Cricetulus griseus: one gene and its partner. Each later gene encodes a partner of the first gene's protein in a complex. Links are inferred from orthologs where the notes say so. Each region holds a gene or a part of one and is shown on either strand. Other genes may lie near its edges.

Evidence for each region.
Region 2: the proteins of Elmo1 (region 1) and Rhog are in contact, whole or in part, in a crystal structure (PDB 7Y4A), measured with the Homo sapiens proteins. The link is inferred for Cricetulus griseus from reciprocal best matches to the Homo sapiens genes ELMO1 and RHOG. Residues at the interface, in NP_001193409.1 of Homo sapiens: Lys9, Val10, Ala11, Glu13, Tyr18, Pro19, Leu21, Met22, Ala54, Asn71, Gly72, Ile74; in NP_001656.2 of Homo sapiens: Val36, Phe37, Asp38, Trp56, Tyr64, Arg66, Leu67, Leu70, Ser71, Pro73, Gln74.

Annotation. Positions count from the first base shown.
Region 1 is NC_048596.1:242,434,060-242,438,643, forward strand, and holds the start of Elmo1 (engulfment and cell motility protein 1), read left to right. Parts: upstream 1-1,570; 5' UTR 1,571-1,855; exon of another isoform or gene 1,856-2,039; intron 2,040-4,584. UniProt on the Homo sapiens protein: Involved in cytoskeletal rearrangements required for phagocytosis of apoptotic cells and cell motility. Acts in association with DOCK1 and CRK. Was initially proposed to be required in complex with DOCK1 to activate Rac Rho small GTPases.
Region 2 is NC_048596.1:97,133,432-97,137,948, forward strand, and holds the start of Rhog (rho-related GTP-binding protein RhoG), read left to right. Parts: upstream 1-1,479; 5' UTR 1,480-1,610; intron 1,611-1,883; exon of another isoform or gene 1,884-1,908; intron 1,909-4,517.

The DNA of each region.
Region 1 (4,584 bases):
TTTGGACATTTTTTTTGTCTTGTTGGTCTTTGTATGTTTTGATTCCCATTTTTGTGTTTTTATGTTTTTAATACAAGTGTGTGTATCCTGTATTATTATTATTATTATTGGTTTGGTTGTTTTCTTTTTGGTTGCTTGTTCATTTTTTAGAGTGAGAGAGAAAGAAATGGCTGAAATTGTGTGGGTGGGGAGGTGGGAAGTCTCATGGAGGAGTTTGGGGAGGAGGAAAGCATGATTGAAATACATTGTATGAAAAAATTAAATAAAAATAAACTGGTGGAAAATTCCTTAAATCCCAGCACTTGGGAGGCAGAGTCAGGTGTATCTTTGTGAGTTTGAGGTCAGCCTGGGCTATAGAGTGAGGCCAGACAGGGCTACCTACAGAAAAAGGCTGTCTCCAAAGCCCAAATAAATAAGTAAATAAATAAATAAACAAACTGGTGAAATTAATTTTAATCATACACATACGTGGTAACCCAATATACTATCCGATTGATTTATTACATAGAAACTCTAGAACTATTATTTACTGAAATTGTTGGAACCCAGCCCCCATGGGGTCTCTAAGAGTTGTTTTCCAGCATAACCACAGGTACCTCCTGTTTTCCTGACCTCACCCCACTGGGATCAATATCCTGTTGTGAACCCTTTGACCTGGGGTTTTTGTAAGTTTGTATATAAGGCTGCTCCACAATAAAGGTGGGAGACATTCTCTCACAAAGTAGACCAGGAGTCTTGTTCATCCAAATCTCCAGGCTTTCGCCCAATACTCGGACTTAGTGGCCAAGAGCAGCCACATGAAATGATAAAATCAGTATAGAAACAGCTATTTTATTTTGTTTTTCATGCAAAATCCCTAATGGCTACTAATGGGCAGTTAGCACAGGGCTAATATGTAAATATTCTTGTGATTAATATTAAAGAGAGCGTTGACTTTTGCCTTAGATTATTGTATCTTCTAGGGAGTACTCCCATCCCCTCCCCTTTTCTAGAGAAGAGGGCATGCACCGCAGCTCCCTTCCCTCTCCATTGGCTCCATCAGAAGACAGGTGTTTCTCCTGAACTTTCCAACTGTCATTTTCCTCTTTCCTGCTAGATTGGGAGTTAAATGTGTTTGATTTCTTCTTTGGAAACTGAAGTAGGCTGCATGACTACAATCACCACAAATAACAAATTCAGGGTAGTACATGTTGCTTCATGCCACGCTATACCAGACAAGAGTCTCTGGCTTCATTGAAGGAAACCTTGTAGTTTCGACTACAGGTGATGGAGGAGAAGGAAACGGCCTGTCATTTTTGCCACGCCACCCACGACAAAGTGGCAAGACATATACGGGAGCTTCTTAGAGCAACTGTTTCAAAATAGCCCACCTAAGTTTCTTCCCCCTTCGGTGGAAAAATCTCAAATAAGCTGTCCAAAATGAAAGCTTATAAAAAAGGTACCATGAGCTTTCTGTCCCCCAGAGGTGGCGCTATGAGGGTGGCGGAGTTAATTAGTGCCTGCAAAACGCGGTTTATGAGCTCATCAGAAGTCATGCTCAGCACACACTATTTATAGCAGAACTGAGGTGTGCATTCTCAATTTTAAAGTAGAGGGACTTCAAAAAGTCGTAGGCAACCGGCCCTAGGCACCGTGCAGGGGGCGGGCAGCAGTGCGGGGGCGGGAAGCAAACGCACCAACCACGCGTGTCCGCGCGCAGGTGCCTGGGGTGGCGGCGGCAACTCCGCAGTGGCTGCCCAGGAGGAGAGTTCGCGGCAGCTCGCGGGATGCTCCCAGATGCAAGATGTGTCTCTGGCCAGCAGGAGGAAGGAAGAGGAAGTGAGAGCAGCGGCAGCCCGCGGCCGGCGACCCGAGTGTAAGTGCGTGCGTTCGGGCAGCGGCGGCGGGCGAGAATGGGCACAAGATAGAGGCAGAGCCACCGCCGTCCGCGGCCCCGAGAGGGGCGACAGAACCTCGGCCACCAGTCTACCGCCCCGGCCCCCGCCCCGGCTCTCCGGCCTCTTGGAACCCTCGTCACCGCGTCCTGCGACCCCGGGCAGGTTCGTAAAGTTTTCAGGGCTGGCGCGGCGCCCGGCTCGCTGACCTCGGCGGCCCGGGCGGGGCCCGGGCAGGACCAGGGCGCCGCGGAGACACTTTTGTTTCCTCCCGGGGGCCCCGCGGCGAGGCGGGGGGCGGGCGCGCTGCAGTTGGGAGGTCTGGGCGGAGAGGGGTCCCGAGTGACTAGAGGCACGAGGGGAGCGGACACTGGGGGCAGCTCTGGGATGGGGTTCAGGGCCGGGACCCGGGGCAGGGTGGGCTGGAGGCGTAGGGGTGCCGGAACCTAGCCGAGTGCGCCCGGGACCTTGCGGCCAGCAATAGTGGGGCGGGAGAGCCCGGAGGCTGCGCCTAGTCGCGGCGGGCGGCGAGGACTCCGGGGCTCGCTCGGGCGTCGCAGACGGGAGGGGATACCCGCAGAGCGCTCTCCCAGGATGGGGCTTGATGGGCTGCGAGGACCCCTGCGGGCGTTCGCTAGGGAAGACCCGCCTCCCGGGGCTTCGCGGGGCTTCCCTCTGGGGTTCGGGAGGGAAGGCGGCGGGGGCTTCGATGGAGAGGCTGGCGTGGGAGAGGGCGGACGTGGGGCTCTGGGGAGGGAGCGAACGAGCCGCGCACCGCGGTAGCCCAGCGGCTTTGAGGAAGAGGAAATCGAGAACTCAGCGGGCCGCGGTGCGCTTGTGTGGGGTTGGGAAGTGCTGTGCCGCGGGCGCGCGCTAGGCGTGTGTGTGTGCGTGCGTGCGTGTGTGTGTGTGTGTGAGTGTGTGTGTGTGTGTGTGTGTGTGGTGTGTGTGTGTGTGTGTCGCGCGCGTCATTGCTCGCGGGCGGGCGGGGGGGTTGCTCTCCCACTGCCCCTCGGGCTGGGGGCACGCTCCCACTGACTCTCTTGCCTGGAACCCTTTGAACTAGGCAGCTGGGGCAAAGATTGTTGGACCCGGATTGACCCGACGCTTCAGAGTTTGGCCCCAAGCTGGGACAGCTCCTAGGGCTTCTGGACAGCTCCCGAGGCACATGGAACTCAATGAAAGGCACCCAGGGGCAGTGGACCGCGTGCCTATGGCCTAAGATACAGATTGTGACTTGAGGGAAACAGAGCTAGAATTTCTGGTTTTTGTTTTCTTTGATGTACAAAATAAAAATAATCAGCTTTTACATATCAAAATCTTTTAGAACAACTTGGGACTGGAGGATCCAGTTTATTTGCAATGACTGTGAGATTGGGAAAGCTGGCAGCAGAGCGGGTCCATTAAAGGCTTCTGGTCGTGGTCTTCACCTCTTCAGCAGATCTCCAAGGTTATTTCAAGGTTTACTGTTTCCACTCCTCAATTTACAGGACTGGGGATGTTAGTGTGTTTAGAACCAGTTCACTTGCAGGCTTGTAACAAAGATTCCATACTCATTTTCTTATTCTCCCTCCCACCTTCGATGACCTTTTGATCTACTGCTCCTCACTATGGTACATTTGCTATCTTTTCAGAATTGTGGTTAAATGCGCATATGGCTTTTCTTACTGTATTTGCTACTGGGTTTTTGTTAAGTTAGATGAAGTGATAAACTGACAGAATGGCCCCAACTGGGAGGACTCCTGGTGAGGAGAAAGAGTAAGCAGGAGAAAGAGTAAGCAGGAGAAAGCTGGGGGACAGGAAACTTGGGGAGACCACAATCTGTGGAAACTCAGTGCCTGAACATCATTGGGCCACAGGGTGGGTGGTCCTATGATGGATGCCCTGCGCCCCCCCCCCACACACACGGAGTATGTCCTTGTTAACTGCAACAATTCTGACTTCCTGGTATTTTTCTTTTTTACTGCTTTTTCTCCCCAGGACCTTTGCACATGATATTCTGGCTGCCTGGGGAGTTTTCCCTCACATGTCCTGATGACTCACCTTTTGCTTCCTTCTTCTCAGTTGTCAGTTTAAAAAGCTTTGTGGACAGCTCTCCCAGGTCCTCTTGTGTTTCCCAGGTTTCCCTCTCAGTATCTGTTACTCCTTGGCATTATATATTCACCTGTTTATTTTATAATTGTCTCTCCGGTTGGCATGGAAGTTTGAGCAGGCTGGTGACCTTGTTCACAGATCTAGATGAACTTCTAGCATAGGGTAGCAATGTGTTCTGTATATGTTTTGTTGGCTGACAGATGGAGAGCTGTCCATCCTGGGAGAGGCCACTGGGGAAACATACTAAGAAAATCCCAGAGTCAGTGGTGAGTGAGAAGCCAGGCTTTTACCTTCCTCTAGTCCCTCCTCCCTGCTCTGCCACTGTTCTTCCAGACCCTTAGACATGTTAGATCTCTTCCTCAGAACTGTAGGTCCAGAGAGGTGATTGCTTGGGGTGGGGTATAAAAAGCAGGGCACTTTCTCAAAAGCCCAGCTGCTCCGATCTGTTGTCGTACCTCTCCCCTTGGAGGATATCTTTCCAAAACCCATGTTGCTTTAAGCCAAGGAAATACTCCTCTGGACAATCAGCATTACCAGAAGCAGCAAGAGGCCCACACATATGTACCCTGTCCCTCCCTCTCTCACAGAGGAGCTGAATTGAAGGCAGAGGAGGAAA
Region 2 (4,517 bases), about 150 Mb from region 1:
TGGGATTAAAGGCATGTGCCACCACGCCAGACTAGGGCTTTTTTTTTTTTTTCCCCTTAAGGTCTCATATAGCCCAGGCTGGACTTGAACTTCTGAACCTCCTGTCTCTACCTCTTGAACGCTGATTATAAGTGTGTGTTACCACATCTGGCTTGGAACGCATTATTAATGGCTTCATTGAAGCCGCCTGAATGTGAGGTACACTTCAGGACCCTGTTATTTCTAGGACTCACAAACCTCTTTCCATGTACCAGTTTTGTCCTCCCAAATTTCCCCTAACCTCTTCTATTCTCTGTTCCCCACAGGGAGAAATTTGTCTCAAAGACCAAAGAAGAAGAAAGTCCAAAAGCAATCAGAACAGGTTTCTGAAAGATCTCAGAACACGCTTTCATTCACTCAGTCATTGACCAGCCATCCTGAATCTGATCGTCTTAACTTCACTTTCGATACAGTAGCACAGACACATACTCTGTTATTTTCACATCCTCAGGGTGGAGAATTTTTTGTTGATTTGAGAGAGAGAGAAGAGAGGGAGAGAGAGAAGAATTGATACTTGGAAAGGTTAAACTATTTTTCAGAATTGATCCTCTTTATTTGGAAGTCCTTGTAAGTACTGTTTCCATTGCACCTAGCGGAGCTCTGCACGTGGTAGGGCACCCAGAAAGTTGTTAAAAGAACCAAGAACTGGATTCTCCAGTCAAAACTCAGCGCCCGGCCTGGGTTAGAAGCACCAGGGGGCGCCCACGAGTCCGTCCACTCGCCTGTCTCTAGGGCCCAAGGCGGACCTCAGGCCTGGGTGGGGTCCCACCGCGCCAAACAGCTGCGCGCCAGGCCGAAGTCGGGGAACAAGAGGAGCCCCACGTCTTCCCACGCCCCACCCCCTCCCCAGAGCCGCGCGGAGCCGCGAAGTGCGGAACCACGACACGACATCCTGTTTTTTGGGGCCCGCGCAGCTCCGCCTGCGGCTCTGCTGATCGTGTCTTTTTCCCGGGGTGCTGACGGCAGCTGCCCTTCCCCTAGTTTCCCTAGTCTCCCCACCCTCCCTAGGGGTCTGGGACCTTCCCACTGCTGAATCACCACCATCCGGCAATCTCCCAAGGCTCAGGGCAGGGGTGGGGACTGCCCCAGCCTGCCCCATTCCCGCTAACCCCTCGCCAGCCACAGCTACCTCTAGATGCCCGCGCTGAGCGGAAGGCATTTCTCAGCCTGCCCGCGGAGGTTGCCGGGCGGGAGATACCAGGAAGAGAACAAATGCCTAGCGCCTAGCTTCGGGCCTCTGCTGGGGTGGGATGCCAAGTGAAAGCGGGGAGACCTGACTTTGAGAGGCCAGACCCGAGGGGTCTCAGTGGCCATAGGGCGAAGGGTGGAGGGAAACGAGACGCGGGACAGCCCGGGGGGCAAAGCTTGCAGAACACCGCGGGCGATGGGGTGGGAAGCCGCCGACTTCCTGGTCCGCCCCGCCCCGGCCGCCCGCCCCGCGCCCGCCCGCCCCGGGCCCCGCCGGCCCGTCCCCCACCCCCCACTTCCTCCGGCCTCCAGCTCTCACTTCCTTCTTGAGCCCAGAGCCGCCGCCGCCGCCCCCAGCTCCCCCGTCGCGGGGAGGGCACCAGGTGAGGCCCGGCCCGGGCCGGTGGGCTGGGGTCCTGGGAAGAGGAGTGCGGCCGGCTGGGACTGGCTGGGCGCCCGGGAGCAGGGAAGTTTGCAGGAGGGAGGCCGCGGGCGGGAGGTTCTCGCTCACTGCAAGTTGGGCGGGAGCGGCAGGCCGGGCGGGGACAGCGGCCACCTCGAGTCGATCGCTGATGGCTGAGTTGAGGATGGGATCCAGAGGACAGCGCGGGATCCCGAGAGCCGCGAGGGACCTCTGAGATCCGAGCCGTCAGAGGCTCGCAAATGGGAAAGCGCTGAGCTGTGAGGATGGGACTCTGTGGTGGGGTGCCCTCAAAAGTTGTGGGGGGTGTTCAGTAGTGTGTGAAAGAAGAGGGCCTCTGGGCTAGAGAAGGCGCGCTCTCTGGCTCTGCAGTTGTGACATTTGTGAGACTGGGCCGGGGGGGGGGGCGGGAGGCGGCGTCTGGGGCCTCTGAAGCCTGAGAATGCAGAGAAAGGTTTCACCCGGGAAGGTCCGGGCCAGTCTATAGCTACACTGTTGCTGCAACCCTCTGGAGGACCGGGTGGGGGAATCCCCGCCCCTTCTCTATTTTTCTGAGCCGACCTCTTTATCTCTGTGCCGTGCAACAGGTATTTAGTGAACATGTCTGTTGTGTCTGACTGACTCAATCTGGCGTTGCTGTTTTTGAGGATCAACTGAGGAAGGAAAAGGTCTCGATACCAACAGTCACTGATAACGTATTATAGGACTTTGAGAGACAGCTAGGCTTTCGAGAATGATTAAGAGCTGTCTCTTAGTCTTTCTCACCTGAATTCCACATACTGTCTTCCTCTACTGACCTTAGTGTTTACCACACATTTGTTTCTTCAGTCTCTTTTTCCCCCAACCACATAGATGTACTTAAGTGGTAATCTCACACTTAACCCTGCCCCGCCGTTGTCTGCTCGGTTCTCTGCTGCCTCACATTCCCATCTCTTTTCAGCCTCTGGTTAACACACACACACACACACACACACACACACACACACACACACACACACACACACACACACACACACACACACACACACACACACACACACACACACACACACACACACAGGTTAACACACACACACACACACACACACACCCCTTTTCCATTTTCCCTGCTGCCCTCTGTCTCCTTGTGTTCATGTCTTTAGCTTTGGTGTCCGAAACTGCTTTAGACTTGAGTTTGGGAGCCTTTTCACGCCTCTTAGAGATGCAGTCTGCAGCCTCCCGATGATGGAGATGATTAAAGGGCTGGAAACGTGCACATGCGAATAAGCATGTAAGTTCTGGTGTGTCAACATCTTTATCTCTTAGAGACAAAATAACTGCCCTCAGCCTTGAGAAGGCCCAGAGCAGAAGCCAACAGAATGAAGGGAACCTGCAGTGGGTGACATTGTGGTTAGGCAGGGGGAAGCAGTTTGTAGCAGTCAGGGTAGGATGACACAAGAATAAGGGAATAGTGAGAAGGGCCATGGGAAATCAAAACTACCCTGATCTTTAGGTGCTCAACCAAGAGTCCTGCCCAGGAGTTGGGCTAGCCTGAAGGTCCCTGCCATTGCTGGTTCCAACCAGTGGTGAGAATGGGGTGGGCTGTTTGGTATGCTAGGAAAAGGAGGGGGCAAAGGCAAGATTCTGGAGGGAAAACTGCAGCTGATCTAACGTCAGTCCTGACTGGTCTTAAATTTTTGACCAGGAAAGAGATATAAGAAAAAGGGGGTTGTTCTTCTTCCCTGCAGCTTTCTGGGGACTGCAGAGGTTGGGTATCTGCATTTTCTGGTGTGTGTCAGAGCCTTTCAGGGAGTTCTGCTGACAGGTCTGTTTAAGCATCCTTGCTATTTGCTTCTTACCTAGGACTCTGTTCCCTTTCCCTGAGAAATTTCTCCAAAGTCTAACTTAGTCTGTCCTGACCCTGTAAGTTCTTTTCCCCATTCTAGAGCCCTTTCCTCGGTCTTTGGGTTACATGCTCAGGGATTTTGTTTGTCTCTACCTCCTCCACTCTTCTGTATTAACTTCCCTCCACGAGAATAAAAGAGAAGTGGTGGGGAGCAAATGCCACAATTGGGGGATCTTCAAGCAAAGCTAAATTTAAGAGCTAGGCTCCTTCCCGTTCCTATCCTCTTACCACCTCACAGTTGTCCTTCCCCATCAATTGTTTCTTCTTCTAGTCTTGCCCTTCTCCACCTGTCTCTCCTACTCTCGTTTCTGGGAGGTACAGAGGTTTGGCCCCACAGAGGAAATCCAAGGGATCTGTATTAAATCCCAGCTCAGGAAAGGATGTGCATCACAGCTTCAGTAAAAATCCTCAGGAGCCCCAAGTCCTCTGACAAACCAGTACTTAATTTAGTGTTCTGTATAACAAAGCAATCCACAGGGCTCTTCGGGCAAAGATAGGATGGAAGTAACAGGGTTTATTCTCTTAGGCAAGGTCTGGCTTTATAGGCAGTTTAAGCTAATTACAAGAAAAATATGATCAGGATGAGAGGGTTCTAACTGGACAAACACCATGGGTGGGGGCTGCCTAAGAAGCTGCTGTGGAGGCCTTGGCTACACACTATGGTTAAGGTAATACGAGAAGTGGTAGGGTGACATTGTTACATGTCCTCCTTAGCAATCTGAGCTTTGGAGAGTTGCTTCAGGGGAGATGTTAAGGCAGATGAGGTGTCTGATAGGCGCTTGTAGGGGGTTATGATCAGGAAGATAGGAGAGGCTGTGGTTATATAGGCAGCTGTGACGATATTGGGGTGATAGTAGCTGGAGAACTGGGAATAAAAAGGGTACCTGGGTACAAACTAAAAGCCTCTTCCCTTCATGTACATTGTCGACCCACTAGAGGTAAGGTTTGTAGGGGTCTGGGAGAAGATCTTTGAAGGGAAACCAA